Linked DNA regions of Callithrix jacchus. The protein of the gene in region 5 purifies or fractionates together with the protein of the main gene of each other region. This does not show direct contact. Links are inferred from orthologs where the notes say so. Each region holds a gene or a part of one and is shown on either strand. Other genes may lie near its edges. The genes, in order: HDAC1, SAP130, RBBP4, SIN3B and SUDS3.

Region 1 (6,045 bases), on a different chromosome or scaffold from region 5:
TGCATACCTGTAGTCCCAGCTACTTGGGCGGCTGAGGCAGGAGAATTGCTTGAACCCAGAAGGCAGAGGCTGTGGTGAGCCAAGATCGTGCCATTGCACTCCAGTCTGGCAGTCTGGGTAACAAGAGTGAAACTCCGTCTCAAAAAAAAAAAAAAGTTTAAAAAGTCTAAAATGTCCTTCTGGTTCAGTCCCAGCCCAGGTTCAATCTCTGACATGGTACTGACAGGTGTCCTTGACTGTCCTCTCCTGCTAAAATATCTTATATACAGGAGTTCTCTGCAGAATCTCCTGGGGTTATTGAGATGCTGTACATAAAAGCAATTTGTGAACTGCAAAGTGCTATAAAAACGGAAGTGTCATCATCTGTGAATCTGTCCTATGAAAAAGTATGGTAATTACCTTTAGAGGTCAGAAATACTCCCCACATATCTCCCACTTCCATTTGCAACTTTTGGGTTATCTGTAGGATTATGATAAACCCTTTCTTAACAAATATTTATTTCCCTGTGATCCCCCCCCAATATAATCATTGTGTATACCCCCACTGCCCCACCAGTATAATCACAGAAAACAAAGAAAAATTGCACAGAAAAAAGCATAGTCACCCACAGTCACAGGGTTGGTGGATAACTTCTGTTACCATTTTGGTGTTTGTACGGTCATTCTTTTTTGTGTGTGTATATATCTGTGTAACACATAGAAACATGTATATATTATAAAAATGAGTTATATACATATCACAAATACATGGTTTTATGCCTGCATTTCCTACTTAACGAAATTGTCTATAGTTTTCTACAGCTTGCTTTCTTGTGGCTCTATGATTATTCCATGTTGTAGATCTACTTGAGTTGATATAATCTCTCCCTCTTCGTGATCATTTGGATCAATCTATGCTTGTATTGCTGTTAAAATTAACACAGCAGCTGGACATGGTGGCTCATGCCTGTAATTCCAGTGCTTTGGGAGGTGGAGGCGGGTGGATCACCTGCGGTCAGGAGTTTGAGACCAGCCTGGTCAACATGGTGAAACCCTGTATTTACTAAAAATAGAAAAATTGTTGGGCATGGTGGCTCATGCCTGTAATCCCATAACTTTGGGAGGCCAAGGCAGGCGGATCATGAGGTCAGGAGTTTGAGATCAGCTTGACTAACATGGTGATACCCCGTGTCTACTAAAAAATACAAAAATTAGCCGGGTATGATGGCACACACCTTTAATCCCAGCCACTCAGGAGGCTGAGGCAGAAGAATTGCTTGAACCCAGGAGGTGGAGGTTGCAGTGAGCCGAGATCACACTATTGCACTCCAGCCGAGCCACAAAGCGAGACTGTTGTCTAAAAAAAAAAAAAAAAAAAATAGCCAGGTGTGGTGCCACATGCCTCTAATCCCAGCTACTTGGTAAACTGAGGCAGGAGAATCACTTGAACCTGGGAGACAGAGGTTGCAGTGAGCCGAGATTGCACTATTGCACTCCAATGCACTTGCACACATGAGTGTGTATTTCTCTTTTACTTCTTCTTGGACCTATCTGTGGTAATGCTGTTTGACCCAGTGTCCTGGCACTGTCTTTGGTATTTTTTCTTTTTCTTTTTTTGAGATGACGTCTTCCTCTGTCATCCAGGTTGGAGTGCAGTGATGCAGTCTTGGCTCACTGCAACCTCTTCCTCCTGGGTTCAAGTGATTCTCCTGCCTCAGCCTCCCTGAGTATCTGGGACTACAGTGGCATGCCACCACGCCCAGTTAATTTTTTTGTATTTTTAGTAGAGACGAGGTTTTATCATGTTGGCCAGGCTGGTCTCAAACTCTTGACCTCAGATGATCTGCTTGCCTCAGCCTCCCAAAGTGCTGGAATGCCACTATGCCCAGCCTATCTTTGGTATTTTTTGAAGTTCCTTGACCATAAGCCACAGTAAGAAATAAACTTACACATGCAATCCAGGATACGTATAACACATAGGCGTGCATGTACACAGTCCCTTACTCTGAAGCCAGAGTTTTACCAACGAGCAGTTACCTTTACTGTTACCCTGATTTTTTTTTTTTAGATGGAGTCTTGCTCTTGTTGCCCATGCTGGAGTGCAATGGCGCAATCTCGGCTCACCACAACCTCTGCCTCCTGGGTTCAAGTGATTCTCCTGCCTCAGCCTCCTGAGTAGCTGGGATTATAGGTGCCCACCAACACGCCCGGCTAATTTTTTGTATTTTTAGTAGAGACGGGGTTTTACTATGTTGGTCAGGCTAGTCACGAATTCCTGACCTCAGGCGATCTACCTGCCTCGGTCTCCCAAAGTGCTGGGATTACAGGCATGAGCCACCGCGCCTGGCCTACCCTGCTATTTTTATTCTACAGTATTTCATTAAAAATATGACTAATAAGTCATGACCCACTAAATCAGCTTTAAGTCTTGCTAATGGGTTACTTTTTTTTTTTTTGGAGACAGAGTTTCGCTCTTGTTACCCAGGCTGGAGTGCAATGGCGCAATCTCGGTTCACCACAACCTCCGCCTCCTGGGTTCAGGCAATTCTCCTGCCTCAGCCTCCTGAGTAGCTGGGATTACAGGCACACACCACCATGCCCAGCTAAGTTTTTGTATTTTTAGTAGAGACGGGGTTTCACCATGTTGACCAGCATGGTCTCGATCTCTTGACCTCGTGATCCACCCGCCTCAGCCTCCCAAAGTGCTGGGATTACAGGCTTGAGCTACCGCGCCCGGCTGCTAATGGGTTACTACCATCAGTTTGGAAAATAGTTTTTTAAGAGTAACCAATATCAGGCCGGGCGCAGTGGCTCACGCCTGTAATCCCAGCACTTTGGGAGGCTGAGGCGGGTGGATCACGAGGTCAAGAGATGGAGACCATCCTGGTCAACATGGTGAAACCCCGTCTCTCCTAAAAATACAAAAAATTAGCTGGGCATGGTGGCGCGTGCCTGTAATCCCAGCTACTCAGGAGGCTGAGGCAGGAGAATTGCCTGAACCCAGGAGGCGGAGGTTGCGGTGAGCCGAGATCGCGCCATTGCACTCTAGCCTGGGTAACAAGAGCGAAACTCCGTCTCAAAAAAGAAGAGTAACCAGTATCATGTTTATTTCCTGCTGGAGTAGAATGGGAGGGAGGGGACTGATTTATTAATATAGCTGTTGATTAGGCAGGTCCTACCTCTCACTGGGTTCCCTGGGCTACCTGGAGGAAGGGGAGAGTGGCTTAGTAACGGGCTTATGTTCTCTCTTTCCATGCCTAGCAAGTGCTGTGAAACTTAATAAGCAGCAGACGGACATCGCTGTGAATTGGGCTGGGGGCCTGCACCATGCAAAGAAGTCCGAGGCATCTGGCTTCTGTTACGTCAATGATATTGTCTTGGCCATCCTGGAACTGCTAAAGTATGCCTGCCTGGCCTTGTCTCTTGGAGGAGCACCTTAGGCCAGGTTCCCATTTCCCTCTCCCCTGGGCTTGCCTCCCTAGTTTGCTTTCTACCAATGTGCTGGCTAGGATGTGATTGGTGAGTGTCTCTGGCCATCACCTCCTTAACGGGGTCTTGGTTTGATCTGAGCCACGGCATGATCAGGGGCAGGTACTGCTCAGATCCTGCCTCCAGAGTGTCCCTGTGTGGCTGGAGTTGACCCTGGCTGTAGAGTAGGAAGATTGGACTTGGTCGGCTTGGTCAGGCCTCTGGAGACACCCGGCCGCTCTTCCACCTTCCTTCAGCCAGTTTCCACGTCTCTGGTGCTTAGAGATACCTGAGGGAGGCAGCCAGCCCGGTAAGCTGGGACCTGGCGCCCTTGGCGCGTCCCATCCCCAAAGAGCCCCCAGACCCCTGACCCCCTTCTGATCCTAGGTATCACCAGAGGGTGCTGTATATTGACATTGATATTCACCATGGCGACGGTGTGGAAGAGGCCTTCTATACTACAGACCGGGTCATGACTGTGTCCTTTCATAAGTATGGAGAGTACTTCCCAGGAACTGGGGACCTACGGGTGAGAAATCCCTTTAGGAGCCAACCAGCTCACCCTCAGCTGCCAGCTCTACTTCTCTCTCCTATGTCGTGCCACTAAAAACTGCTTCCTGCCTCTTCTGCCATTCACAATACTATGTCCCAGTCTGAGGCACTTGCCCTGATCTCTTTCCCTTCCTTCTTCTGGAGGAAGGGAATGATGGGACATGAAGGGTTAGAGAAAGGAGCGGGGTCTCCTGACTCACTGTACTTCCCTCCTGGCCATGCTAGGTTGCATCACACTATTCTTATGTCTCATAAGGCTTGAGTTTGGGACTAGGAATTAGGACTCTGAAGAACCATCTCAGATGTTCTTAATGTTTTTTTATGTCACTTTCCCCTTTAGCCTTTTGACTGAAAGCTATGGACTCTCTCTCCAGAAAAGTACATGCAATTTTACATCTGATATGGAATAGTTAATAAACAAGTCCCCTTGCTGAAGCCCATCCATGAACCTTAGGATAAGAATCCGTGGAAACTACTTCCTTGAACTGTTCCATCTGCTTCTATTAGCATGAATGCAGTGAAATCAGCTGTTTGCCATGCCCAGTGACCCTTGGGTAAAAAAGTGGCACTAATTCAGTTGTTTGCTATGGCAAGCATTAGAATAAATGAACATTCACTTTTTTTTTTTTTTTTTTGAGACAGAATCTTGCTCTGTTGCTCAGGCTGGAGTACAGCGGTGTGATCTTGGCTCACTGCAGCCTCTGCCTCCCTTCTCCTGGGTACAAGCAATTCTTATGCCTCAGCCTGAGAATAGCTGGGATTATAGGTGCATGCCACTATGCCTGGCTAATTTTTGTAGTTTTAGTAGAGATGGAGTTTTACCATGTTGGCCAGGCTGGTCTTGAACTCCTGACCTCAAGTTATCCACCCACCTTGGCCTCCCAAAGTGCTAGAATTACAGGCACATTCACTATTTCGAGGTTCCTGGGAAGGACTTTCTTCTCTCTCCTTCCCTCCACACCACCCTAGAGAGGGAGCATGGGGGAAGAGGAGTGAGCATTAGGGCTCTCTGGAGTGGAAAGGGTTGTCAGGGGTGGTTGTTACTTCTGTGGCCCACCTGCCAGCCAGCCCTAACCCAATCCCAAGGTAGAAATCTTGTGCCACAGGGTAGGGTATTCAGTCTCTACGCCCATCAGTAGCTCTCAGCCTAGGTGTAGGCTTAATGCTATGTCTAGAGATGTGAGCTAGATTGGTGAGTGAAGAGAATGGTACTCACAAGGTACCCCTGTTCTGTCCTGGCCCACATCATGGGCCTAGCTTATCTCTCTTAGAACCTCTTCCTTTATCCCTCCAGCCTGCATCCCTGACCTTCCTTTAAGCTTCATCCTTTAGTTTTACTTTCATGTCCTTCTTAATTAGGATATCGGGGCTGGCAAAGGCAAGTATTATGCTGTTAACTACCCGCTCCGAGATGGGATTGATGACGAGTCCTATGAGGCCATTTTCAAGCCGGTAAGTGGCTTTATGCACTCCTTGGGCTACAAAAAGGGGATTGGTCTAGGGCAGGGGAGCAGAACACCCCCATGATACCTCAGGAATCTCTCCTTACTAAAGCTGGTGGGGAAATAGAAGTGTTTGAACCCTGGATTGCTGTGTGGTCAGTTAGGGGAACAAACATCCATATTTGATGGTTCCTTCTATGGGTCAGGTCTTCTGCTGGATACAAACATATCTAAGACATGATCTTTGCCCTCATGGACTATGGTGGGAAAGGCAGGCACATATCCAGTAGTCTGTGGTTAGTAGTGTTTTGTGTCTCTGTCTCTCTGGGCTACTGGGAGATGATTGTGTTCTTTTGGTAGTGCTATGTCTCCTTGGTTTTTCATGTTCCTCGTTGCCTTACACTGATGTCTGCACATTTGAAGAAGTAGGGACTTACTCCAGTCTTTGCAGATTGGCTTTATCTGGGAAAGCCCTTCACCAGTCAGCCCATTCAGAGATTGTGGAAAGGCTCTCTGGCCTGTTCCATGGGCAGGCTGGCCTAGTGCCTGTGTTTTTGAGGGATGGTCAGAGGAGTGAGAGATAGACTCCTGCCTGGGCGGGCAG
Region 2 (6,045 bases), on a different chromosome or scaffold from region 5:
TTTGAGGTGGAATTTCACTCTTGTTACCCAGGCTGGAGTGCAATGGCACAATCTCAGCTCACTGCAACTTCCTCCCCACCCCCAGGTTCAAGTGATTCTCCTGCCTTAGCCTCCCTAATAGCTGGGATTACAGGTGCCTCCCACCACACCCAACTAATTTTTTGTGTCTTTAGTAGAGACAGGGTTTCACTATGTTGGCCAGGCTGGTCTCAAACTCCTGACCTCAGGTGAGGCACCCACCTCAGCCTCCCAAAGTGCTGGGATTGCAGGTGTGAGCCACCATGCCCAGCGATAAAGAGGTTTTAATCACCTGGGAGAAAAGTTAATATATAGCAAAAAAGAAAATGTATATCAGTCTTTTCATCTAGCACTTGTACTTTTAGAAATTTTTTTCCTGAAGAGATCACTAGACAAGGTTGTTGCTAAAAGCAAAAATTTGGAAATAACCTAAAAGACCATTAATGATACAGTGATTTTTAAAAGCTGTTGTACAACTATACAGTAGTTTCTCATTTTACCTTTTTTTTTCCTATTTTTGAGAGGAGAGTCTTGCTCTTTCTCCCAGACTGGAGTGCTATGGCACAATCTCGGCTCACTGTAACCCCTGCCTCCCAGGTTCAAGTGATTCTTCCGCCTCAGCCTTCCGAGCAGGTGGGATTATAGGCACCAGACATCATGCCTGGCTAATTTTTGTATTTTTGTAGAGACAGGCAGAGCTAGTCTTGAACTCCTGCCCTCAGGTGATCTGCCTGCCTCAGCCTCCAAAGTGCTGGGATAATAGGCGTGAGCCACTGCGCCTGGCTCCATTTCACCTTGTGAATGATGCAGTATTCTCTACTCAGTAGTTCCACTCCTAGGCATATATTGCGTAGAAATGGTACATAGGTTCATCAAAAGACATGTACAAGAATATTATTAGCATTATTCAAAATAGGAAAAAAATGAAAACTATTTAAAATGTCTCTTAAGAGTAAAATGGATAATTTGTACATTACTCACATGTAGTACTATATACAGCATTGAGAATGAAAGAGCTACAGCTGTGTACACTAATGTGGATGAATTACATACCTGTCAGTGAAAGAGGCAAAGTACAGTTGAGTGTATTTGTTATGAGTCTGTTTATATAAAGTTCAAAAACAAGACAGTACTAATCTATAGTGTTACAAGTTAGGAGATTGGTTTCCTTGGGAGGACAGTAACTAGAATAGGGCCAAACAAAGGATCTCTGGGGGACTAATAATGTTTTCTATCTTGAGCTGGGTGCTATTTACTTAGGTATATTCAGTTTATGAAATTCCAACTTTCATATGAAAGTGCACAACTAACATTTGTGTACTTACCTTTATGAAGATCATAGTTTAAGGAAAAAATTCAAATGAATAAAAACCCACCCAGAATTTAAAAGAGGAGGGAACTGTTGCCAGAACTTTTAAGTGTTGGTGCCTTTGTGGGGTAAGCCTGGGGGCAACTTTACTTTCTTTATGGTATTTCAAATAATTTAAATTCTCTGCATAAGTAAATGCTCAGAAAAAAAGAATGTTAATATTATTTTGGAAAAATTATAGAAAAGTATGAGTTAATATTTTCACAAGGTCTTCCTTTATTACTTTATTATTCATTCTCTGATTTTTTTTCCACTTAATTTTTTTTGACTCAGAGTCTTGCTCTTGTCCCCCAGGCTGGAGGGCAGTGGCAGGATCTCCCAACCTCCGCCTCCTAGGCTCAAGCGATTCTTATGCCTCAACTTCCCGATTATCTGGGATGACAGGTGTGCACCACCACACCTGGCTATTTTTTGTATTATTAGTAGAGACAACATGGTTTCTCCATGTTGTCCAGGCTGGCCTCAAACTCCTAGCCTCAACTGGTCTCCCTGCCTTAGCCCACCAAAGTGCTGGGATTACAGGTGTGAGCCACCGTACCTAGCATCCACTTAATTTTTAAATACATAAGTAATACTTATGTAATAAATAAGTAAATACTTATGTATTTAAAAATTACTTAATTTAATTTTTAAATAGGCCAGGTGCAGTGGCTTACACCTGTAATCCCAGCACTTGGGAGGCCAGAGGCAGGAGGAACACTTATCTCAGGAATTCAAGACCATAGTGGGCAACATAGTAAAACTCCGCTCTTTGTAAAAAAAAAATGTAAAAATTAGCCAGGCGTGGTGGCATGTGCCTGTAGTCTTAGCTGCCTGGGCAGCTGAAGCAGAGGACCACTTGAGTCCAGGAGTTTGAAGCTGTAGTGAGCTGATATTCTACCACTGTTCCAGCCTGGGAGACAGAGCAAGACCCTGTCTCAAAAAAATGATTAAAAAGAAAAAATTTAAAAATTTTTAAATAGATATACGTCTTCTGGTAATCCAAAACTCCGAAAGAAAAAGAGCATACAGTGAAAAATATCTCTCCTTTTTCCCTCAGTTTTGAAAAATTACATGTTCTTAAAGTTAGAAATTGTATTCAAAATATCTTTTCTTTTTTTCTTTTTTTGAGACAGAGTCTCGCTCTGTTGCCCAGGCTGGAGTGCAGTGACACAATCTCAGCTCACTGCAACCTCTGTCTCTCAGGTTCAAGCAGTTCTCCTGTGTCCACTTCCCGCGTAGCTTAGATTACAGGCGTGTACCACCACGTCTGACTAATTTCTTTGTATTTTTCATAAAGACAGGGTTTCACCATATTGGTCAGGCTGGTCTGGAACTCCTGACCTCAAATGATCCACCCGCCTTGGCTTCCTAAAGTGCTAGGATTACAAGTGTGAGCTGCTGTGCCCAGCCCCCTACCACCTTTTCTTTTTTTTTTTTTTTTTGAAACAGAGTCTCACTGTTTCACCCAAGCTGGAGTGCAGGTAACACAATCATGGCTTGGTTCACTGCAGCCTTGACCTCCCAAGGTTAAGTGATCCTTCTCCCTATGCCTCCAAAGTAGATGGAATTACAGGTACGTGCCACCATGCACATTTAATTTTTGAATATTTTACAGAGACGGAGTCTTGCTGTATTGCCAAGGATGGTCTTGAACTCGTGGGTTCAAGGGATCTGCCTGCCTTGGCCTCTCAAAGTGTTAGGATTGTAGGTGTAAGCCACTGCACCAGCCATATATTTTAAAATTTTTTATTTTTAGACAGAGTCTTCCTCTGTCGCCCAGGCTAGAGTGTAATGACGCAATCTTGGCTCACTGCAACCTCCGCCTTTTGGGCTCAGGCGATCCTCCCACCTCAGCCTCCTAAGTAGATGGGATTACAAAAAAAGTGGGTTTTTGGGTTTTTTTTTTTTGGTATTTTTAGTAGAGATGGGGTTTTGTCATTTTGGCCAGCATAAAATATCTTTTTAATGTCAGGCTTCTATAACATTTTAAGAAGATGTTTTAAATGAAATTGTCATATCCTGTATTGTACTTTTAACTATTTCAGCTCATTTTAGCTAACTTTCAGTTAGTTTATTTGTAAGGGTATGAAAGCTACAATATCCAGAATAAATTCTATATTACACAATTGTGGCTTTTGTGTCTATAGTCCATCAGGAGAATCCAGTGCCCAAATTGGCCTTGTTAAGAAAATATCACAAGGAAATGGTCACATTGTCAATCCTGAGATTTAACTTTAGGTGCCACTCTGGTCTGTGCTGCAATCTTACTTTGGGAGACTGTGACATACTGTCTCACTCTTAATGTCTTTACTAGTCAATGATGAATCTGGTCGAGATTCTGAAGTCAGTGCCAGGGAGCACATGAGTTCTAGCAGCTCCCTCCAGTCCCGGGAAGAGAAGCAAGAGCCTGTTGTGGTAAGGCCCTATCCACAGGTGCAGATGTTGTCCACACACCATGCTGTTGCATCAGCCACACCTGTTGCGGTGACAGCCCCGCCAGCACACCTGACGCCAGCAGTGCCACTTTCATTTTCGGAGGGACTCATGAAGGTAATGGAGAGGGTTAAAACTTCATACTGAACCAGAGCTAAAGACTGGCTAATGTTTGTAACAATTTGCCCAAAATCTTAGGCTGTATCTTAGGATCATATTTCATATTTTCTTTAGGGCCTGTGAGTTCAGCTTTTCTCTGTCGCCTAGCCCTGATTTTCTGCAGTGCCTTGTCTTGTGCTGCTGAGCAGTTGGCATCACAGGATCTTTGCTGTTACCATTTTGATACTGATATTGATATTATTCAACTTACTGGCATGTTAAGTTAGATAAAATCTTGGAGAGGGACCTTCTTTTTTTTTTTTAAGCCAGTCAGATTCCGCAGTGGGAGCTTAATGACTCTAATGTTTTTCGTTTTGTTTTTGAGACGGAGTCTTTCTCTGTCATCCAGGCTAGAGTGCAGTGATGTGATCTCAGCTCACTAACCTCCACTGCCTGGGTTCAAGTAGTTCTCTTGCCTCAGCCTCCCAAGTAACTGGGATTGCAGGTGGGTGCCACTGTGCCCAGCTAATTTTTGTATTTTTAGTAGAGACAGTATTTCACCATGTTGGCCAGGCTCGTCTTGAACTCCTGGCCTCAAGTGATCTGCCCGCCTTGGCCTCCCAGAGTGCTGGGATTACAGGCGTGAGCCATTGTGTCCAGATGACACTAATGTTAATGAGTTATGATAACCCAGTACCATGGGGCCAACTGGAGTGGCACTCTTCTTTAATGTTTGTTTTAATAACTGGTTGATTTGGGGGTTTCTGAGAATATTGCCTATGCATTACCTTGGAGTTATGTTTCAGTTACTGGGAGTTTTGTTTAATCCACCCAAACTTGGGAGGCAACATCATGTAGAAGAAAGGGTGTGGGCTGTGAGCCATGCAACTCTGGGCTTTATTCCCAGTTCTACTTAACTGTGTGCATGGCTTTAAACGAGTTAGTTAGCCTTGCTTTGTATGTTTCTTCATTCGTGAAATAAAAATGCTAGTACTTCAATGGAAGCACTGTGATACAAATAGATAAAATGTGTAAAGCTTGTAGCATCTTTCCTGCCACTCTCCACATTTGATTTGTGTACTCTTAATGTGGATTGAAACGCATTACCAGTATGAGGCCATTGATATGTTTTGTGTGGTTTTCTCTTTGCAGCCACCCCCGAAGCCCACCATGCCTAGCCGTCCCATTGCTCCTGCTCCACCTTCTACCCTGTCACTTCCCCCCAAGGTTCCAGGGCAGGTTACCGTTACCATGGAGAGTAGCATCCCTCAAGCTTCAGCCATTCCTGTGGCAACAATCAGTGGACAACAGGTTTTTCTTCCTTTTAATTTGCTGATTTTCAAACTGAAATGCCAAACTGTTGATCATGATTTATTGAATGCTAGCAGTACATTAGGCACAGTAATAAAAAATTAAACAGTCACCAATACCTGCAAGGGAAAATAGTAGGTTTGAGAGAGAAGGATAACCGAAGGGAGTAGAGCCAGTATCCATAGTGGTCATTTAGCCAGGATTTATTGAGCAGCTACTGTATGCTCGGTTCGACCCTCAGTGTGATATGTAAATCTAGGTACAATAGTCTGTGTCCTTGAGGAGTCTGGAGTCCAGTTTGTGTTTGGTTTTAGTGTCAAGAACAGCCTCCTAGGAGTAGTGGTGGTCAGTGCTTCTCTGTGGTTTCTCTGAGGAGCACAGATGTGCATCTCATGGGATACTGGTAGGTTACCTCAAGCAGATCTCCAGTTGCAAACTTTTTTTTTTTTTTTTTGAGACAGAGTCTCTTTCTATCATAGGCTGGAGTGCAACGGCACGATCTTGGCTCACTGTAACGTCTACCTCCTGTGTTCAAGCAATTCCCTCACCTCAGCCTCCTGAGTAGCTGGGATTACAGGTGTGCACCACTATGCCTGGCTAATTTTTGTATTTTAGTAGAGACAGAGTTTCGCCATGTTGGTCAGGCTGGTCTCCAACTCCTGACCTCAGGTGATCCACCTGCCTTGGCCTCTCAAGTGCTGGGATTACAGGCGTGAGCCACCACACCCAGCCTTAGTTGCAAACATTTATTTTGAAGTCTCCTGTTTTAAGGTTTTTTTGTGAAATTTTGCAATCCTACTCTGCTGTGTGCTTTTTATTAAATATTTTAAATT
Region 3 (6,045 bases), on a different chromosome or scaffold from region 5:
AAATAAAAATAAAAAAAATAGAAAGACTAGCTAGGTTTAGAAAGCAAGAATTAAATACTTAATTCCCCAAGGCTGAAATCTGTACTATCATCTTAGTTTTTTGCTTTAGCAAATCCAGATAATGAGAATTGTTTCTTTGAGATGGAGGCTCTTGTTCCCAGGCTGGAGTGTAGGGACATGATCTCAGCTCACTGTAACCTCTGCCTCCTGGGTTCAAGCAATTAACCTGCCCAAGTAGCTGCCCAGCTATTCAGGAGGCTGAGGCAGGAGAATTGCCTGAACCCAGGAGGCAGAGGTTGCGGTGAGCCAAGATCGCGCCATTGCACTCCAGCCTGGGTAACAAGAGCGAAACTCCGTCTCAAAAAAAAAAAAAAAAAAAAAGACAGGACCTTGTTCTGTGGTCCAGACTGGGTTGCAGTGACACAATTAGAGTTCCCTGCAGCCTTGACCTCCTAGGCCAAGGGATCCCCCTGCCTTAGCCTCTGGAATAGTTGGGACTACAGGCACACACTACCATGCCTGGCTAAATTTTGAAAAAAATGTTTGCTGTGTTGCCCAGACAGTTCTTTAACTTCTGGGCTTTAATGATCCTTCCACTTTGACCTCCCCAAGTGCTGGGATTACAAGTATGAGCCACAGTGCCTGGCCCTATTTTTGTGTTTTAAGATGAGGGTTACAAATTACAAGCAAGCAGCTCTGATGCAGTGTTTACTTTGTGTGTTCTTTTTCTGGTGTTTATTCATATCCATTTCCCCCTTAAAAAAAAAAAAAAAGAAAAACTACAATTGTAGTTCTGTAGCGTTGTCCTCTCCTTCATTCTTCCTGTTCTTTTTCTAGCCTTCTATATGCAGGTAATTCCAATTTGCTGTTCATATCCCTCTTTTCATTTCTCTTTTTTTTTTTTTCATTTCTCTTTAAATTTATTTCACGGATCATAGGAAACAATCACTTCTGTTTTTTCAGTGTATGGTAGATGTTCTCAAAGCTTTGCTTGTCACATCTGTGCAGAATTCCTGTTGGTATCTTTAGACCTAACTTCTCCAGAGCTTTTCCTGATTTTTCTTCTGCTTGCTATTGTCTTCCCTGATGTATCTTACTGGCTTCCCCAATTAGACATATTGTAAATGAAATAATTCCTTCCATGAAGAGCTTACCCCAACTTTCTCTTCATATTGTTCCTATTTCTTTTTATCCTAATTGGCATTTGTTTTCCATTTTCTCTTTCTCCATTTTACAGGCAGTCAATTTATAAAGCTCAATGAATTCTGCTTGTGTAGCGTCTTTGCCATCTCTACCAGGGGTTCTCAAAATTTTATATGCATCATAATCAGTTGGCAGTATTGTGAAACATAGTTGTGCTCCGCCTTCTAGAGTTTCTGATTCAATGGGTCTGGAGTAGATGGGAGAATTAGCATTTCTAATAAGTTCCCAGATGGTGTGGATGCCCTTGGCCCAGTATGGAGTACAGAATGTCTTAAGATTGCATTCAGGACACTAAAAAGTAAGTTTTAATCGGCTTTCTCTCCCGGTGTGCTTTCCCATATCAAAAGTCAGATTGGGACTTCAGTATGCTTCTGTTACTTAGTAGCTGTGTGATCTTAGGCAAATTTTTTAATTTTCTCTTTCTCTCTTTTCTTTCTCTGTCACCCAGCCTGTAGTACAGTGGCACGATGTCCGCTCACTGCAACCTCTGCCTTCTGGGTTCAAGCCATTCTTATGCCTTGGCCTCCTGAGTAGCTGGGATTAGCCAGCTGAGGATTTTTAAAGGACAAAACTCATGTCTTAATCATCTTTGTACTTCCATAGCATTTGGAGCAATGTGTCTGTTGATTAGGTATTTAGTAAATACCTGAAAAATTGGTTTGCTTAATCTAATTTTCTCTTTTTCCTTTTTTCATTTTTTTCTTTGGATTTTCTTTACACCCTTTCCCCTTTTTTCCTTTTTAATGAAAGTTTTAGTAAACAAAATCATTAGCATACCCAACAATGGTTTTCTTAACCTCTAACCTATTGTAGTGAGTGAGTAGTTAATTCATATTTTATTCCATTAAACGTTTTACTTTTTCTCCAGAATAATTAAGTAGAAAATAAGGCCAGGCATGGTGGCTCTTGCCTGTAAACCCTGCACCTTGGGAGGCTGAGGTCAGTGGATCACTTGAGGCCAAGTGTGGCAGGTGCCTGTAGTCCCAGTTACTTGGGAGGCTGAGGCTGAGAACAGCTTGAACCCAAGAGCTGGAGGTTGCAGTGAGCCAAGATTGCACCACTCCATTCCAGCCCCGGGCGAAAAGTCCTGGTTGTAATAGTCCCTTTTACATAACATGTATATTGTTGACTTTGTGTTTTCTTGATGTTACTAATTTGAATAATGACTGTATATTGCTGTTACAGACCAGAAGGGAAAGATTTCAGCATTCATCGACTTGTGCTGGGAACACACACATCGGATGAACAAAACCATCTTGTGATAGCCAGTGTGCAACTCCCTAATGATGATGCTCAGTTTGATGCATCACACTACGACAGTGAGAAAGGAGGTAGGAATCTTAAAGGTGAAGGAAGTAAACATGTATGGGTCATATCTTTCATGTCTTTGAATTGTAAAAGTTATATATTTAGTTTGATAAAGTAATCTCCAACTTTAGAAATAATATTTAAGCTTGGGGGAAAGCCCGAGTTTGCAGTGGTAGAGTTGTAGATGTCAGAAGAAATACTTAACACATCCTTGGTTCTATACCTTTGCAATGAACTTTTCTCATCTGATGCTGGCGGAGGAAATTTCTATAATTGAAAGAAGCAAAAATATATATTATTGCTGTACATTAATTGGTAGTGTTTTTTGTTTGTCTGTTTTTTGTTCCTGAGATGGAGCCTCGCTCTGTCATCCTGACTTGTATGCAATGGCACGATCTCGGCTCACTGCAACCGCCATCTCCTAGGTTCAAGCAATTCTTTTAGTTCAGTGTCCCAAGTAGCTGGGATTATAAGTGCCCACGAACACGCCTGGCTCATTTTTGTTATTTTTAGTACAGATGGGGTTTCAGCATGTTGGTCAGGCTAGTCTCAAACTTGGGTGAGCCACTGCACCATCTTTATTTTATTTTATTTTTTAGAGTCTTGCTCTGTTTCCCGGGTTGGAGTGCAGTGGTGTGATCTCAGCTCACTGCAACCTCTGCCTCCCAGGTTTAAGCAATTCTTCTGCCTCAGCCTCCTGAGTAGCTGGGACTACAGAGGCCCGCCACCATGCTTGTGGTGTATTTTTGTATTTTTAGTAGAGATGGGGTTTCACCAAGTTGGAGAAGGTTGGTTTCGGAATTCCTGACCTCAGGTGATCCACTCTCCTCAGCCTCCCAAAGTGCTGATATTACAGATGTGAGTCACCACACCTAGCCATATTGCTGTACGGTTTTTTTTTTTTGTTTTTGAGACAGAGTTCCGCTCTTGTTACCCAGGCTGGAGTGCAATGGCACGATCTCGGCTCACCGCAACCTCCGCCTCCTGGGTTCAAGCAGTTCTCCTGCCTCAGCCTCCCGAGTAGCTGGGACTACAGGCGCACACCACCATGCCCAGCTAATTTTTGTATTTTTAGTAGAGACGGGGTTTCACTATGTTGACCAGGATGGTCTCAATCTCTTGACCTCGGCCTCCCAAAGTGCTGGGATTATAGATGTGAGCCACTGCGCCTAGCCTGCTGTACATTCTTAACATGGGAGATACTACCCCTAACGAGGTGAAAATTGGTTTGTGTATGTGTGAGAGTACATGTAAATCTTACTGGTTGATTGTGTAAAGCACAGATATGCACAGAGTACCTAGGATATCCATGGTATTTCATGGGCCAGGGCTAGTTCTTAAAACCCTTCTTAAAGGAGCATTAATAAAAAAAGAAAACGTTTGGAAACATTAACATAAATTACCCTTTCTAGGTTTAAAGTGGTAGAAATGACTTAACCATGGCACGTCCTATGTGTATAAAAATTTAACCTACAGGCTGGGCATAGTGGCTGACATCTGTAATCCCAGACGCCAATTACAGGCATGCGCCACCATGCCCGGCCAATATTTGTATTTTTAGGAGAGACGAGGTTTCACCATGTTGGTCAGGCTGGTCTCAAACTCCTGACCTCATGATTTGCCTACCTTGGACTCCCAAAGTGCTAGGATTACAGGCTTGAGCCACCACGCCCAGCCCAACATATATATATATATTTTTTTTTCTTTCAAAAGAGGTAGAAGTTGGTGAGTTTCCTTTATCCTTAAACCAAAGTATTGTCAAAAAATAGAAGATGGGCTCCCATTATTGGGGTTCTCCTGATTAGCAGAATTCATTTTTAAATCAAAATTCTTTTGGTTTATAGTTATTTGCCAGGATTGTAATTGTGCAGTTTAGTCTTTGGTCATTCCACATTTAGCTTAGTGTGATGCAGAATGCCAAATAAGTTCTTACAAAGGTCAGCAAACATGATTTTTGTGTCACTGACCCAAATGTGACCCGAGTGATTTCTGGAAAGTTATTCTCTATATAGCGATCTGTGATGTGGGCTGGGAAAGAGAACACTGAACTTCTTTAGAACCTGTCGTACCACTAGTTTTTTGGGTTTTTTTGTTTTTTGAGATGGAATCTGGCTCTGTCATCCAGGCGAGAGTGCAGTGGAGCGATCTCGGCTGACTGCAACCTCCGCCTCCTAGGTTCAGGAGATTGTCCTGCGTCAGCTTCCATAGCAGCTGGGAACTACAGGCATGCACCCCTATGTCCGTCTAATTTTTTGTATTTTTAGTAGAGGTGGGGTTTTATCATGTTAGGCTGGTCTTGGAATTCCTGACCTGAAATGATTCACCCACCTTGGCCTCCCAAAGTGCTGAAATTACAGGCATGAGCCACTGTGCCCAGCCCAGAGTTGTACCATTATTAGCTTTGTGGTTTTGGGTGAATCATTTAGCCTCCCTGAGCCCAGTTTCAGTTCTGTTAAATGAGGATAAATTGTCTTCAAATTTTTTTGTTCTTGGTGTTAATTAGGCACAAATACTCCGATTGATAGTGTGATAAATTGTAAAAGTATATATGTGTGTATAAACATATTTTATGTGTGTACACACACACAGAGTAAAAAAACACACCCCTTCTCTCTTATAAACATTTGCCCAGCCAGGTGTGATGCTACAGGCTTGTAATTCCAGCATTTTGGGAGGCCAAGGTGGGTAGATCACTTGAGGTCAGGAGTCGGAGACTAGCCTGGTCACCATGGTGAAACCCTGTCTCTACTAAAAATTAGCTAGGCATGGTGGCACGCACCTGTAATCCCAGCTACTCAGGAGGCTGAGGTGGGAGAATCACTTGAACCCAGAAGGCAGAGGTTGCAGTGAACCAAGATCCCACCATTGCACTTTAGCCTGGGCAAAAAAAAAAAAAACCTTTCCCCTGGAGATCACTTAAATGGATGTATTGTAATATATTCTGATGGTTATATAGTAGACCATAATTAATCATTCCTTTTTAATTGACATTTAGATGGTTTCTAATTTTTTTTTTTTGAGACAGAGTTTCGATCTTGTTACTCAGGCTGGAGTGCAATGGCGCGATCTCGGCTCACCGCAGCCTCTGCCTCCTGGGTTCAGGCAATTCTCCTGCCTCAGCCTCCTGAGTAGCTGGGATTATAGGCACGGGCCACCATGCCCCGCTAATTTTTTTTTGTATTTTTAGTAGAGACGGGGTTTCACCTGTGTTGACCAGGATGGTCTCAATCTCTTGACCTCATGATCCACTCGCCTCGGCCTCCCAAAGTGCTGGGATTACAGGCGTGAGCCACCGTGACCAGTCCTGGTTTCTAATTTTTTTACTTCAAAAGCATAGTTTTGCTATAGAAATGCTTTATAAGTAGAATGTTGGATCAAAGGGCAGGACCATTTCTGAATATAATTGATACTACTAAGTTGTACTCCAAAAAAAAAGATTCACATTCCCACAACAGCATATGTATTTATGTCTGTTTCTCCATGCCCTTGCCAACGTTGGACTTAATAGGGTTCATTCTCAGTTTACGTTGCTTT
Region 4 (6,045 bases), on a different chromosome or scaffold from region 5:
TGTCGGGAAGGTCCTTGGGCGCTCTGAGAAGGTGGCTGGGGAGGGGTGGTGCTCCCTGGGCAGTGCCCAGATCACAGTGGGAGCTGCATTGTCAGCCTCGTGCCCACCTGAGTAGGGGCATCACCTCACCCAATTCGGTTTCTTCTTGCTGTCACTGCACAATGAGTGGTAGCTCCTCCTTTTGCAATGCAGAAACAGAAGCCACAGGAACCGGGCTGCTGGCCTGAGGCCTCTCCCACAGCCTGTGGGACTGTGGAGACCCCCTTCTCTTCCACCTCCCTCCCTATGGGCTGCCCTCGCCGCAGGCCCACCCCACAGCCACTCTGGCTTCCTCACTAGCCCTCCGCGGATCCTCAACCCTGAGACCCTGCCTACGTTCTGTGAGTCTGTGGCATCTGCAAAGTGTAGGTGATGAAGTGGCTCTGGAAATCCACTGATGCAACCCCAAGTTCTTCAGACCCCCATTCCATCATGCAGTTTACAAAGCACAGTTACGGACCACAGACATGGGGACCCTGCTTCAGAGGGGACTGTAAAGGAATTTTGAAAGTGTTTATGGCATAAATGAGACCTGGGGGACTTAGGAAGCAGTCAGAGGCCAGAGGCCCCACTGAATAGCCCAGAGCGGAGCTGAGTGTGCAGACTCCTAGGAACCAGCCCAGTGTGCTTGGCCTCTACGCTGCCCTGCAGGGGAGGAGGAAGGGAAGCCTCAGGCTGCTGGAAGACCCAGTGCTGCCCTCGGGAGCTCCCCGCCGGCAGAGACAGCATCCACACTCACTTTCCTTAAGAGCCCCGGTGCGTCTGCCTCCCTGCCTGGTGCTGAGGGGTTGGGACCGCCCAGCACAGTGGCGTGGCAGGCTGGAGGAAGGAGTGATTGTCTTCCGCTGTGAGGGAATGAAAGTCACGATTTGGATAAAGACCAAGGGGAGAGGTGAGCCTGAGGGAGGGGTAAGCCTGGGATGGGGTTTTCCAGGGAGTGAGAGCAGATGGGCATGTGCAAAGGCCCTGCACATGCAGGAGGAGCTCGACGCCCCGAACATTGCAGGAAGGAGCTTGAGGGCTGTAAGGCCAAAGGTGCTTCGGAGGGGTGCGCCAGGGCCCGGCATCTTCTGAGCAGCCTGGGGACCATTAGTCAGGGCGACCTTGCTCCTGTTGGCCAAACTGCCCAGGACCTGGTGAGGAGAGCGGTTGGAGCAGGGTGGTGGGAGGGCTGGTGGAAGGATGGTGGTAGCGAGCACATGCAGGGGATGGCAGGTGACAGCGTTGGAGACGGGCTTGGTGACGATGGGCGTGTGGGGCTTCAGATGTGAGAGTTGCATACCTCCCGGGGAGTAGATGGAGGGCAGAGGCTTGAGGTCAAGGCTCACTCTGCACCTCCTTGACCTCATCAACAGCGTGGTATGGGCAGCCATGGTCAGGCTGGAATCAGGCGCTGCCGTTCTTGTCAGTAGTAGGAGGTCTGCCTTAGAGGCTTCTCCGTGCTGAGCCATGGGGCCCTGATCTGTCTTGGAGTCGGGCTGAGTGACAGACCCAGGCTTGATGCTGCCAGACCCCCTCTGACCTCTCCCCTCCCGTCTCAGAATCCTCTCCTTTGCCTGGCGTCCCTGCTTTTGGAGAGGGGATCAGGAGCACATGGCACTGCACAAGAGACTGAGGCAAGCGCCCCGCGCCCCCAGGCCCTGCTGCCTCACTGACGCTGCTCACCCACCCCTCTCTGGGCAGCGCTCATCCACCTTGGTGGCCTATCTCACAGCAACTCACGAAGGGCATGGGGGTCCTCTGGGTGCTGGGTGGCTTCCTGCCTAATGGCCATCCTGTCCCCCACAGCACCAGGAGCAGCACTCGGAGGCCCGCAGTGCCCCCTCCAGTGAGCCACACCTTATCTTCGTGTACGAGGACCGGCAGATCCTGGAGGACGCAGCAGCACTCATCAGCTACTACGTGAAGCGGCAGCCGGCCATCCAGAAGGAGGACCAGGGCACCATCCACCAGCTGTTGCACCAGTTCGTGCCCAGCCTCTTCTTCTCCCAGCAGCTGGACCTGGGCGCTTCCGAGGAGTCAGCCGACGAGGACCGGGACAGCTCCCAAGGGCAGAGCACAGAACCCAGCGAACGGAAGAAGCCAGCGCCAGGACCGCATAGCAGCCCCCCGGAGGAGAAGGGGGCCTTCGGGGATTCCCCGGCCGCCGAGCAGCCGCCCCCGCCACCCCCACCTCTGCACAAGGCCCTGGATGATGTCTATAGCCTCTTCTTCGCCAACAACAACTGGTACTTCTTCCTGCGCCTGCACCAGACCCTGTGCTCCAGGCTGCTGAAGATCTACCGCCAGGCACAGAAGCAGCTCCTGGAGTATCGGACCGAGAAGGAGCGGGAGAAGCTGCTCTGCGAGGGCCGCAGGGAAAAGGGCAGCGACCCCGCCATGGAGCTGCGGCTGAAGCAGCCCAGTAAGGATCCAGGGCCTCCTGGAAGGCCCTGGGGGTGCCTGGGGTTTGGGATCACAGCTCATCATCCCACACGTCCTGTTTCTTTCTGGCTTTTCATTTTAAGAATTCTGTGATTTCAAATGGGAAATTGCAAACAGGAAGCTGCCAGCATCAGACAGGTCTTGTGAACCCCTTGCCCAGGCTCCTATCCTGGGTTTAGCACCCTTTCCTTACCAGGAAAGCTGTGTGTCTCACAGCCCTTCCCGTAGAGCCGTCACAGCCAAGCTCCACAGCACATTTTTTTTTCTGAGATGGATTCTTGATATGTTTCCCAAGCTGGAGTACAGTAGCATGCTCTCGGCTCACTGTAACCTCACCTCCCAGGTTCAAGCGATTCTCCTGCCTCAGCCTCCATAGTAGCTGGAATTACAGGCATGTGCCAGCACACCCAGCCAATTTTTTGTATTTTTAATAGAGACAGGATTTCACATGTTGGCCAGGCTGGTCTCGAAGCCCTAACCTCAGGTGATTCACCTGCCTTGGCCTTCCAAAGTGCTGGGATTACAGGCATGAGGTACCGTGCCTGGCCTCCACAGCACTTTCACTGCCATCCCTGGGTTGCCAGTCAGATTAGGCAGCCTCAGGAAGGGTGGCGGTGAACACGTTACTCGGGTTTCCTGCTGATGCCCAGCCTGGCCCCAGGGGTCATGGGTGAAGGTTGCTGGGCCCCAGGGGGGCATTTGTTGGGGTGCTGTGGTGTCACAGCTTGGTCTGTATGGCTTCTCGCCCCCCTGGGAGGCATGTGGATAAAACCATGTGTCTCCACAGGTGAAGTGGAGCTGGAGGAGTACTACCCAGCCTTCCTGGACATGGTACGGAGCCTGCTGGAGGGCAGCATCGACCCCACGCAGTACGAGGACACCCTGCGTGAGATGTTCACCATCCATGCCTATGTGGGCTTCACCATGGACAAGCTGGTACAGAACATCGCGCGGCAGGTGAGCCGGGGCGGGGCCGACACTCAGGACGCTGCACATGGCCCTGCCATGTCATTTCACTCCCTTGCCGGGAGGGGGCCCGTGGTCAACAGTAAACCTGTCCTGATTTCTTGAGACAAAATTCTCATAACGTAAAATGAACCATTTTGAAGTGTCCAGTTTGGTAACATTTAGTACATTCACAATATTGTGCAGTCTCCACCTCTGTCTAGTTCCAGAACATCTCATCTTTCCCGGAGGAGACCCAGTCCCCAGTAGCAGCCACTCCCCTTTCCCCCACCCCGAGCCCCGACATCCAGTGATCTGCTTCCTGCCTCGCGGTTTCCTGCGCACTGCGTTCATTCCTTTCTATGGCTCTGTGATACTCTGTTGCATGGCTGGCTGCGTTTCGTTTCTCCATCTCTTGGTGACCATCTGGCCTATGGCTGCCTGCAGAGACGGTGAACAGTGCTGCTCTGAACATTTGTGTGCAAGTTCTTCTGAGTCCCTGTTGACAAACTTTTGAGGGTAAATGGACAACATGGAAAAACCTTAACGCACTTATCCTGGGCGAGGGTGGGAATAGCGCTGCTCACCAGCGTTGGCTTTAGCAGTAGCAAAAACCAGCCCCTGCTGAATGTCACCACAAGGAAACCAGTCACCTGGATAGAAACAGCAGACGTCCCAGGCGAGCTGGGTGTCGTTCCAGGACATGGGTCCTGCTTGGTTTCTGCCAGCAGCATTGTTCGTGGTGACTTCTGTTTCCTGGTCACCAAGTAAGGCTGTTCATCATAAAGCGGGAAAAAAGCTGGAAAAAAACTAATGCCATTACTCTCCCACTTAGACACAGTCACGAGAAGCATTTCACACAAGATGCTTCCTTCCCGGTTTTAAAGACTGCTTATGGAACTAAAAATCACACGCAGAAAAGTCCCCAAATCTGAAGGGGGCAGATGGATGGGCTTTCATCAACAGAACCCCTGCCCCTGTGTCCCTACCCAGCCACCTGCCACCTGTGGACACCAATAACCCTAATTTTTTTTTTTTTGAGACGGAGTCTTGCTCTGTTGCTAGACAGTGCAGTGGTGCAGTCTCAGCTCACAGCAACCTCCACCTCCTTGGTTCAAGCGATGCTCTTGCCTCAGCCTCCTAAGTAGCTGGGATTACAGGCGTGTGCCACCACGCTTGGCTAATTTTTGTGGTTTTAGTAGAGATGGGATTTTGCCATGTTGGCCAGGCTGGTTTTGAACTGACCTCAGATGATCCTCCTGCCTTGGCCTCCCAAAGTGCTGGGATTACAGGCATGAGCCACCACGCCGGGCATCACAACCCTGATTTCTGCACAGAGGTAGATCCCTGGTCTTGAAGCACACAGTGCCCAGCTGCATCCTGGGAGTATCATTCGATGAGATTCCTGTGTTGAGATGAACTGGCCAAGGATTCCCAGGAATGATCCCCGTTCTGTCTCTGGCCACAGGACTTAGAGAAACCCACAGCTGCGTCCTGATACCTTCGCTTCAGCCCCCTCCACTTTCCCTCTGTGTGCCCATCACCATCCACAGCAGTGGCCACTTCCGGGTGAGGGAGATGCACACGGAGCAGCCTGGAGAGAGGACACCCAGGGCCCAGCACATGGTGTCAGGGCAGCAGTGCAGGGATGCCAGAGGGCTGGCACTCTGTCCCCCAGGCTGGGCACCCCTGATGGGCCACGGGTTCAGGGACAGCAGCTTTGCTGTGGCACCAGGAGATTGGACCAGATGGTTTATGGAAAGCATTGATCTAGAATGCTTTGAAAAATCCTCCCCTTCCATAAACCTCTTCTCTAGAACCTGTTAAAAAGCAATGAAAATCGCTGGCTGTCTAGATCTGTCGTCAGGGCCTCACGCTGCCCTGCTGTCCCATCTGTGGCCACACCACAACCCAGGTGCTCACTGCAGGCCCCACCACACTGTTCGTAACCTGCCTTGGGACCATGTCTGGACTCTGCCTCACTTTTTCTTAAAAATCAGCATTGCTGTGTTTTTAGCAGTAGCAACTGACATTCAGTGGGTACCTGCTGTGTGCCAGTTACTGTCTGAAACCTGTGCCTGCCCAGGTGTGATTGTATCCATTCAAGAAAGCTGCACGTGGAACCTGCAGGGAGTGTGGTCCTGCCCAGGGCCCAGGCTGTGCAGGCGGGCTCACACCAGCCCTGTCTGCCCCACAGCCCCTGCTGTCTCCATTACTTTCTCCTTCAGCGCAAAGGTAAAAGGAGTGGCAGGGTGTTTATAGCCAAGCATTTGGGGGAAAGGAATGGCCTACACTGACACCCCCTTCACGTCATTCCTTGGTTTGCTTGGGCACATTTTTGTCCATGTCTCCATGTGTTTCTCATACCCAGGGAGGGTTTGCTGGTCTGGTCTCTTCTGAGCTGGTCTCATGTTGGCCTGGGCTGGTCTGTTTGGCCTGGTCTGTTTGGTCTGCACACAACCTGTCAGGATCCTGGTGTTCATCCCGTGTCACGCACTCTCCAGCCTGAGGTGTTTCTGGCCTTTGCCAACTCCCTCTGTGGGTGAGGTGGGGGCTCCTGCAGGAGACGGGGTAGTAGCACTACCTGCTCTCCCTCCCACCAGCTGCACCACCTCGTGAGTGACGACGTCTGCCTGA
Region 5 (6,577 bases):
GAGACGTGGTTTCACCATGTTGGCCAGGCTGGTCTTGAACACCTGATCTCAAGTGATCCATCCACCTCAGCCTCCCAAAGTGCTGGGATTACAGGTGTGAGCCACCTTGCCCTGCCGATTGTTAACTTTTTAACTCTAGCTGACAAAATGTGTTTGTGTTCTAAACAGTATACATGTTTCTACTGGTGTTTAAAAATCATATCCCATTCATCACCTGAGGTCACGAGTTCGGGACCAGCCTGGCCAACATGGTGAAACCCTGTCTCTATTAAAAATACAAAAATTAGCCTGGTATGGTGGTGCACGCCTGTAATCCCAGCTACTTGAGAGGCTGAGGCAGGAGAATCGCTTGAACCTGGGGGGCGGAGGTTGCAGTGAGCTGAGATTGGGCCACTTCACTCCAGCCTGGGTGATAGAGCAAAACAACGTCTCAAAAAATAAAAAAAATAAATCATACCTCATTCCAATTGTGATACTCCCCTTTAAAGTTTCAGTTTGGGTGTTAGGGTAGGCAGAGAAGGCCTAGAAGCAAAGAAGTTGTGGAAATGGAGCTGGCATGACTTCAAGTCAAGTCGAGTTCTGAAGGAGGTGTTTCCTGAGTGGTGTGGCTGAGTACCATTTTGAGAAGGGATATAGAAAAAGATTTCGAGGTGGTAAAACATGGTTTTGTACTTGATTTTTACAGGATTATAGCGACTGTCCAAAATCATATTAAACAACTCTATAAGGTTGGGTAAGACTAAAGCCATTAAGAGAATTTTTTTGAGTAGGTCCACCTTCACTAAAGAGCATTTTTGAGTTCTGCAGCTGGCAATCTGGATTTAAAAAATGGGGTAAGTTTTCATCACCCAAGTGCTCAGTTGAGTCTATTCATTACAATAAAAAAGAAATGCATCACCATTGATGCTGTTTGCAGTCAAGAAGATAGAAATAAAACAAGCATGATAAAAATCTCAGCGTCTTGAAACCATTTAGCAATGAAATAAACTTTAAAATTATATAAATGAACTCTGATTTCTAAAATCTTTGCTTTTTCTGCACTATGATTATTCTCCAGACAGGCACGAAAGTTACTCAATATATTTGATTGCAAATAATTTAGATGTGACCCAACAGCACAAAGAAAGAAAATGACTTCATCTTTTGGACAGGAGACAGTTCTGAAATCCTAAGTTTAAATATAGATGGCAGACCTACGGTGAGATCTGAGAGTGACTCTTATTTAGAAGGCGCTTCAGAAGATCTTGGAACTCCTGGAAAGACATCTTAGGATTCCATTCTGGAAATTCTTTAGTTTTGCTGGGAGAAAAAAATCCCTTACAAATAGAGCCAATATTTTAATTAAAACAAGGTAGTAAGTAAATGTCAAAATAAATGGGATGAGAATAACGTTTCATTTTTAGAAGAGTCCATGGAGGCCAATTCAGAGATAAATTTGATCACAAAAGGTCTGAGAATGGGAATATTTTGGTTCCACCCTATTTTTCACATCTGTGTTCATTTTCACTATCGGTTGCGTTTCCTATGGAGACTCAGATGGAACATAAAAGTGGGGCTACTTTGGAGAAACCATTAAAAAAACTTTTTTTTTTTTCTCGCTGCACACAACTAGACCACACTGCTCTTAAAGGGACACCTTAAATCTATCTATTCGCTCAGCAAAACTTATAACGTGTCCCTCTTCTACTCGGAATCACACAAATTCATTCTTGCAGATACGCAACTCTTTTGTTTTTTAAGCTTTCGCATGGGCCTTACTTAGCCAAATTACATCTGGTAGGCAAATTCTCCCCTTCCTCAGTTGAGAGTTCAGAGCAAGCTGTTGGATTAGGCAAAAACATCTTTAAAAAAATGAATATTCAAGGAAGCTGTATCGTGAAGGGCCTGGGTATTGGAGTCTAAAACGTCAGACTGGACGTTACTATTTTTTTTTAAGGCAAATGACAGTTCATTTCTCTCTTGTAAAACTGGGGGAACATCCTATCGTATAAACCTTACACAAACAGAAAGGATTCCCAAGGACTGAGAAAATGCTGTTTTGCTAACCCCAGGATGGCGTATCATCCGTGTCTTTTAGCCCTTAATAATGCTCCAAATAGTCAGAGGAGGAGCCAGGCTGCATGACCACGCACACTCTGGATGTCTAGGTTTCCCGACCTAATTAGGGGGCAGTTCGCGTAGTTCCACTGCTTAAATTAGAGACCACCTCCACCTGCCAAGGGCCCTTCAAACCCTCCTCCCCTAAGTCGCTAACGATCGCCGCTTTAGTTCTGGCTCCAGACGCCGCCTGGCGGCTGTTTCCGTAAGTCGCCGGCGAGCCTCGGGGTCCTGACCGCTGCTGGGCCTGCCCGAGGATTTGCCTGACTCTAGAGAACCTGCCCCCGCCCCTCCCCCACTATACGTTGAGAATTTTAAGACGGCGATGAAAGGGTTGAGGTTGTGGCGACCGGGGCGTCCAGCGGCTTCTTCACTTTCCCAAGAATGGCGGAGTCAGGCCGTCGTCGGGCAGCTCTCGACCCGGAAGTCGCCCGAGGCGCGAGGCCCCCGTTGCCGAGCGCGGGCGCGGGGGGCGGAGCTCGGTGGAGACGGGGAAGGGGTCGCCGCGGCTCCCGCTCCTCCAGTTGGGGGCTCGGTCGGACGCTGCTAGACAGACGGCGAGTGCCCAGCGCGGGTGGCCGCGGTGTCCCTGGGCCACGCTTAGCCGCGGTCAGAGGCGACATGAGTGCCGCCGGTCTGCTGGCCCCGGCCCCGGCCCCGGCTGGAGCGCCGCCGGCCCCCGAGTACTACCCCGAGGAGGACGAAGAGCTGGAGAGCGCCGAGGACGACGAGCGCAGCTGTCGAGGCCGTGACTCGGACGAAGGTGAGTTCTGCAGCTCGCCGGGCCGTCCGGAGCAGAGGTGGGACCGCTTGGGGAGGGGGTGGGGCTGCTTGGAAGAGGGGCGGGGCGGCCTCCGGGGCCTGGGGCTGCGTGGAGGGGCCGCTGGGAGTTGCGGGGCTCGGGGAAGTTACCCCCATCCATGCTAGATTAACGGGGGAAACCTTGAGTGCGTTACACTCGACTGTGATGGGGAGAAGGGACTTACATGTTGTCACTCTGGGGGTCTCTTTAAGACCCTGTCCTCCCTCCCAGCCGTCTCTGATTGAACCTCAGATCTTCACTAGTGGGAATGGGAAACTCATCTATTGAATGCACCGAGTGTAGTTCACCCCTTTTTTGTGTCTGAGAGCATCAGAGTCCTAAGTTGCCCCTCTCCCCCCCCCGAAATGCGTAAGCTATACTTTAGGTGGTACAGGCTTGAGAACTCAGGTTGGTTAAAAAAGGAAAGGGACCTAGAACCAGCGAGATACAGGTTTGAATTTTGCTCTGTCACTTTACTCGGTTTGTAAACTTACGCTTTGCAGCCTCGATTTACTCAGCTGTAATGGAGCTGTTTAATTCCCACGCTTGCACTGGAAAGCACTTTCTAGGGTCGGTATAAGGATTAAATGACATGCGCATAAATTGCTTGGCCTTGTGCAGTAAATGTTCTCCCCATCTCCCACCCCCCCGAAACAGGTGAGAGAGAGGGATTTGCTTAATGGTACCCAGGTGTTATGTTTTCAGTCGGTGCTCTTTACACTGTCATTACAGCGTCTCGAGTCTTGCTTTTCAAACTGGGCTTTATAATTTGGCAAGTGTGAGGAACACTATTTTGGAGGGATGGAGGAGGAGGAAGATGATGAATTGTGAAAAGTCAAGGGAGAAGAAAGAGGGGATAGAGACCGATATATGAGTCGAATATTCTGGGGCAAAATCGGGCCGTGGAGCAAAAGCTAGACCAGCTGTTTGGAATGGGGCATATGTTTTATTCATCTGAGTCTCTGAGTGCCAAGTAATGTGGCTGGCGGGAACTCAGGGAAGGCCTCTTGACTGAAAGAGAGGAGAAGAGTTTGTGGGGATTTGGATCTGCAGCAGCCTTACAAAAGCTGCAGATACGTGACATATAAAGTTGAAGGAACTGCATTAGGTTTAACTCCATCGGAAGACACTGCTTAGAGAGATTTCGACTGTGAAGCACTTGCACTGCATCGCATGCCCACGAGGGGGAGAAGCGGAACCAAAATTGAGTTTTTTCCTTTCTGCTATAGGGGCTATTGAAATTTTGTAGACACTCCAGCCATTAGCTTGTTTTAAGAACAACGTTTAAGATGTTTTGAAACAGTTTTTGTTTGATCATCTGGACGCCTTCTTTTTCCCTTGTCACTTGGAAAATATTTCAATTATTTGTGACAGATTCCCCTTTTTTATTGTATAGTTGGTTCTCCATGTCTGTGGTTTCTGCATCTGTGAATTGAACCAAGTGCAGCTCAAAAATATTCAGGAAAAAAAGCTGGATCTGTACTGAACATGTGCAGATTTTTTCTGTTATTCCTAAACACTATACATTTTATTAGATATTGTAGGTAATCTTTTTTTTTTTGAGATGGAGTCTCTGTCACCCAGGCTGGAGTGCAGTGTCGCGATCTCAGCTCACTGAAACCTCCGTCTCCTGGGTTCAAGCAGTTCTCCTGCTTCAGCCTCCCAAGTAGCTGGGATTACAGGCACCTGCCACACATCTGGCTAATTTGTTTTGTTTGTTTGTTTTCGAGATGGAGTTTCGCTCTTGTTGCTCAGGCTGGAAGCTGCCATCTCAGCTCACTGCAGTCTCCACCTCCCAGGTTCAAGCGATTCTCTTGCCTCAGCTTCCCGAGTAGCTGGCATTACAGGCGTGCACCACCACGCCCAGCTGATTTTTTGTCTCTTAAGAAGAGACAGGGTTTTTTCATGTTGATCAGGCTGGTCTCAAACTCCCGACATTAGATGATCTACCTGCCTCTGCCTCCCAAAGTGTTGGGATTACAGGCGTAAGCCACCGTGCCTGGCTCTAAATTTTGTGTTTTTAGTAGAGACAGGGTTTCGCCATGTTGGCCAGGCTGGTCTCGAACTCTTGGCCTCAAGTGATCCTGCTTTGGCCTTCTAAAGTGCTGGAATTACAGGCATTAAAGGCAAGCTTTTTGCGTAAATCTGACCATAAGTTGGAAATGGCTTTTTCTTTTCTGAAATACGGCTGTCCCTCGGTATCCATGGGGGATTGGTTCCAGGACTTTATGGATACCACATCTGAGGATGCTCAAATTCTTTGCATTGCCCTTCTGTGTCCACAGGTTTCACATCTGCAGATAGGGATGGCGAACTAACTGTATGTGATGTTTTTCATTGATGGCTTTTTGTAGGCCTGCATTGAACATAAATTGATTTTACGGGAGTGTATTGAGTGCACGTTCTGTGTCAGGTGACACAAACTCTGTGAATTATGGTTTTAACTAGTCTCTCTTTCCTAACTTTATTCAGACACTGAGGATGCTAGTGAAACTGACCTGGCAAAGCATGATGAAGAAGACTATGTAGAAATGAAGGAACAGTGAGTATGATTTTTCTGGATCTTTTCTGGAACAGAGTGGACAAAGTCTTCATATGGGTTGAGCATCCGAAATCTGAAATCTCAAATGCTTCAAAATCCAGAACTTTCTGAGTACCAGCATGATGCTCAAAGGAAATGCTCATTGCACTGTTTCGGATTTCAGATTTTTGGATTTGGGGTGCTCAGCTGGTAAGTACATTGCAAATCCAAAATTTGAAAAAATCCAAAATACTTCTGTTCCTAAGCATTTTAGATAAGGGATACTTAATCTGCAGTGACCTTACCTGTATGGTTTTGACCAAAGCGCTTTCAAAGACCTTGTGTATTTGCAGTTCTCCATTTTAAGTTAATTACATTTAATCGGTCTTCACGTTATAAGACTCTGTTGAGTACCCTCTAGAAAAAATCTTGAGGGAAACAGACACAGGGGAGGGAATGGTGTCGTACAACAGGAGAGGACCTTTTACCACTTACTCCTTTATTTTATTTTATTTTATTTTTTGAGATGGAGTCTTGCTGTGGTACCAGGCTGGAGTGCAGTGGAATGATCTCTGCTCCCTGCAACCTTTGCCTCACAAGTTCAAGCCATTCTCCTGCCTCAAACTCCTGAGTAGCTGGGATTACACGTGTGTGTCACCACACCCAGCTAATTTTTGTATTTTTAGTAGAGACAGGATTTCACCATACTGGTCAGGCTGGTCTTGAACTCCTGAGCTTATGATCTGCCTACCTTGGCCTCCCAGAGTGCTAGGATTACAGGCGTGAGCCACCATGCTTGGCCTTTTATTTTTATTTTTTAATGGGAAAACCAGTGGACAGAGATGGTAATTAGTGTCTTGAAGCAACTGGGTTCTCAGCTAAGTGTGAACTCACTGCACTAACATGCTAGACAAGGTGCCAGAGGCCTAGAGAGCTCAGAGAAGCCATGATTGAAAAGCAGGGCTGCTGACTCTTATTTATTTATTTAATTTAGAAGAAAAATTTTTTTTGATATGGAGTCTCACTCTGTCGCCTAGGCTGGAGTGCAGTGATGTGATCTCTGCTCACTGTGACCTCTGCCTCCCAGGTTCAAGCAATTCTGCTTCAGCCTCCTGAGTAGCTGGGATTATAGGCATGTGCCACCACACTTGGCTAAT

The links.
Region 1: the proteins of SUDS3 (region 5) and HDAC1 purify together in Homo sapiens (affinity purification with mass spectrometry; 9 studies listed by BioGRID and IntAct, counting the BioPlex papers as one, with this or other methods). This does not show direct contact. The link is inferred for Callithrix jacchus from reciprocal best matches to the Homo sapiens genes SUDS3 and HDAC1.
Region 2: the proteins of SUDS3 (region 5) and SAP130 purify together in Homo sapiens (affinity purification with western blotting; 3 studies listed by BioGRID, with this or other methods). This does not show direct contact. The link is inferred for Callithrix jacchus from reciprocal best matches to the Homo sapiens genes SUDS3 and SAP130.
Region 3: the proteins of SUDS3 (region 5) and RBBP4 purify together in Homo sapiens (affinity purification with mass spectrometry; 5 studies listed by BioGRID and IntAct, with this or other methods). This does not show direct contact. The link is inferred for Callithrix jacchus from reciprocal best matches to the Homo sapiens genes SUDS3 and RBBP4.
Region 4: the proteins of SUDS3 (region 5) and SIN3B purify together in Homo sapiens (affinity purification with mass spectrometry; 3 studies listed by BioGRID and IntAct, counting the BioPlex papers as one, with this or other methods). This does not show direct contact. The link is inferred for Callithrix jacchus from reciprocal best matches to the Homo sapiens genes SUDS3 and SIN3B.

Annotation. Positions count from the first base shown.
Region 1 is NC_133508.1:68,938,965-68,945,009, forward strand, and holds part of HDAC1 (histone deacetylase 1), read left to right. Parts: intron 1-3,240; coding exon 3,241-3,379; intron 3,380-3,834; coding exon 3,835-3,976; intron 3,977-5,358; coding exon 5,359-5,451; intron 5,452-6,045. UniProt on the Homo sapiens protein: Histone deacetylase that catalyzes the deacetylation of lysine residues on the N-terminal part of the core histones (H2A, H2B, H3 and H4).
Region 2 is NC_133507.1:36,386,714-36,392,758, forward strand, and holds part of SAP130 (histone deacetylase complex subunit SAP130), read left to right. Parts: intron 1-3,683; coding exon 3,684-3,919; intron 3,920-5,053; coding exon 5,054-5,212; intron 5,213-6,045. UniProt on the Homo sapiens protein: Acts as a transcriptional repressor. May function in the assembly and/or enzymatic activity of the mSin3A corepressor complex or in mediating interactions between the complex and other regulatory complexes.
Region 3 is NC_133508.1:69,245,467-69,251,511, forward strand, and holds part of RBBP4 (histone-binding protein RBBP4), read left to right. Parts: intron 1-2,388; coding exon 2,389-2,534; intron 2,535-6,045. UniProt on the Homo sapiens protein: Core histone-binding subunit that may target chromatin assembly factors, chromatin remodeling factors and histone deacetylases to their histone substrates in a manner that is regulated by nucleosomal DNA.
Region 4 is NC_133523.1:15,479,423-15,485,467, forward strand, and holds part of SIN3B (paired amphipathic helix protein Sin3b), read left to right. Parts: intron 1-1,580; coding exon 1,581-1,655; intron 1,656-1,827; coding exon 1,828-2,443; intron 2,444-3,250; coding exon 3,251-3,420; intron 3,421-6,011; coding exon 6,012-6,045.
Region 5 is NC_133510.1:121,432,908-121,439,484, forward strand, and holds the start of SUDS3 (sin3 histone deacetylase corepressor complex component SDS3), read left to right. Parts: upstream 1-2,562; 5' UTR 2,563-2,718; coding exon 2,719-2,860; intron 2,861-5,371; coding exon 5,372-5,441; intron 5,442-6,577.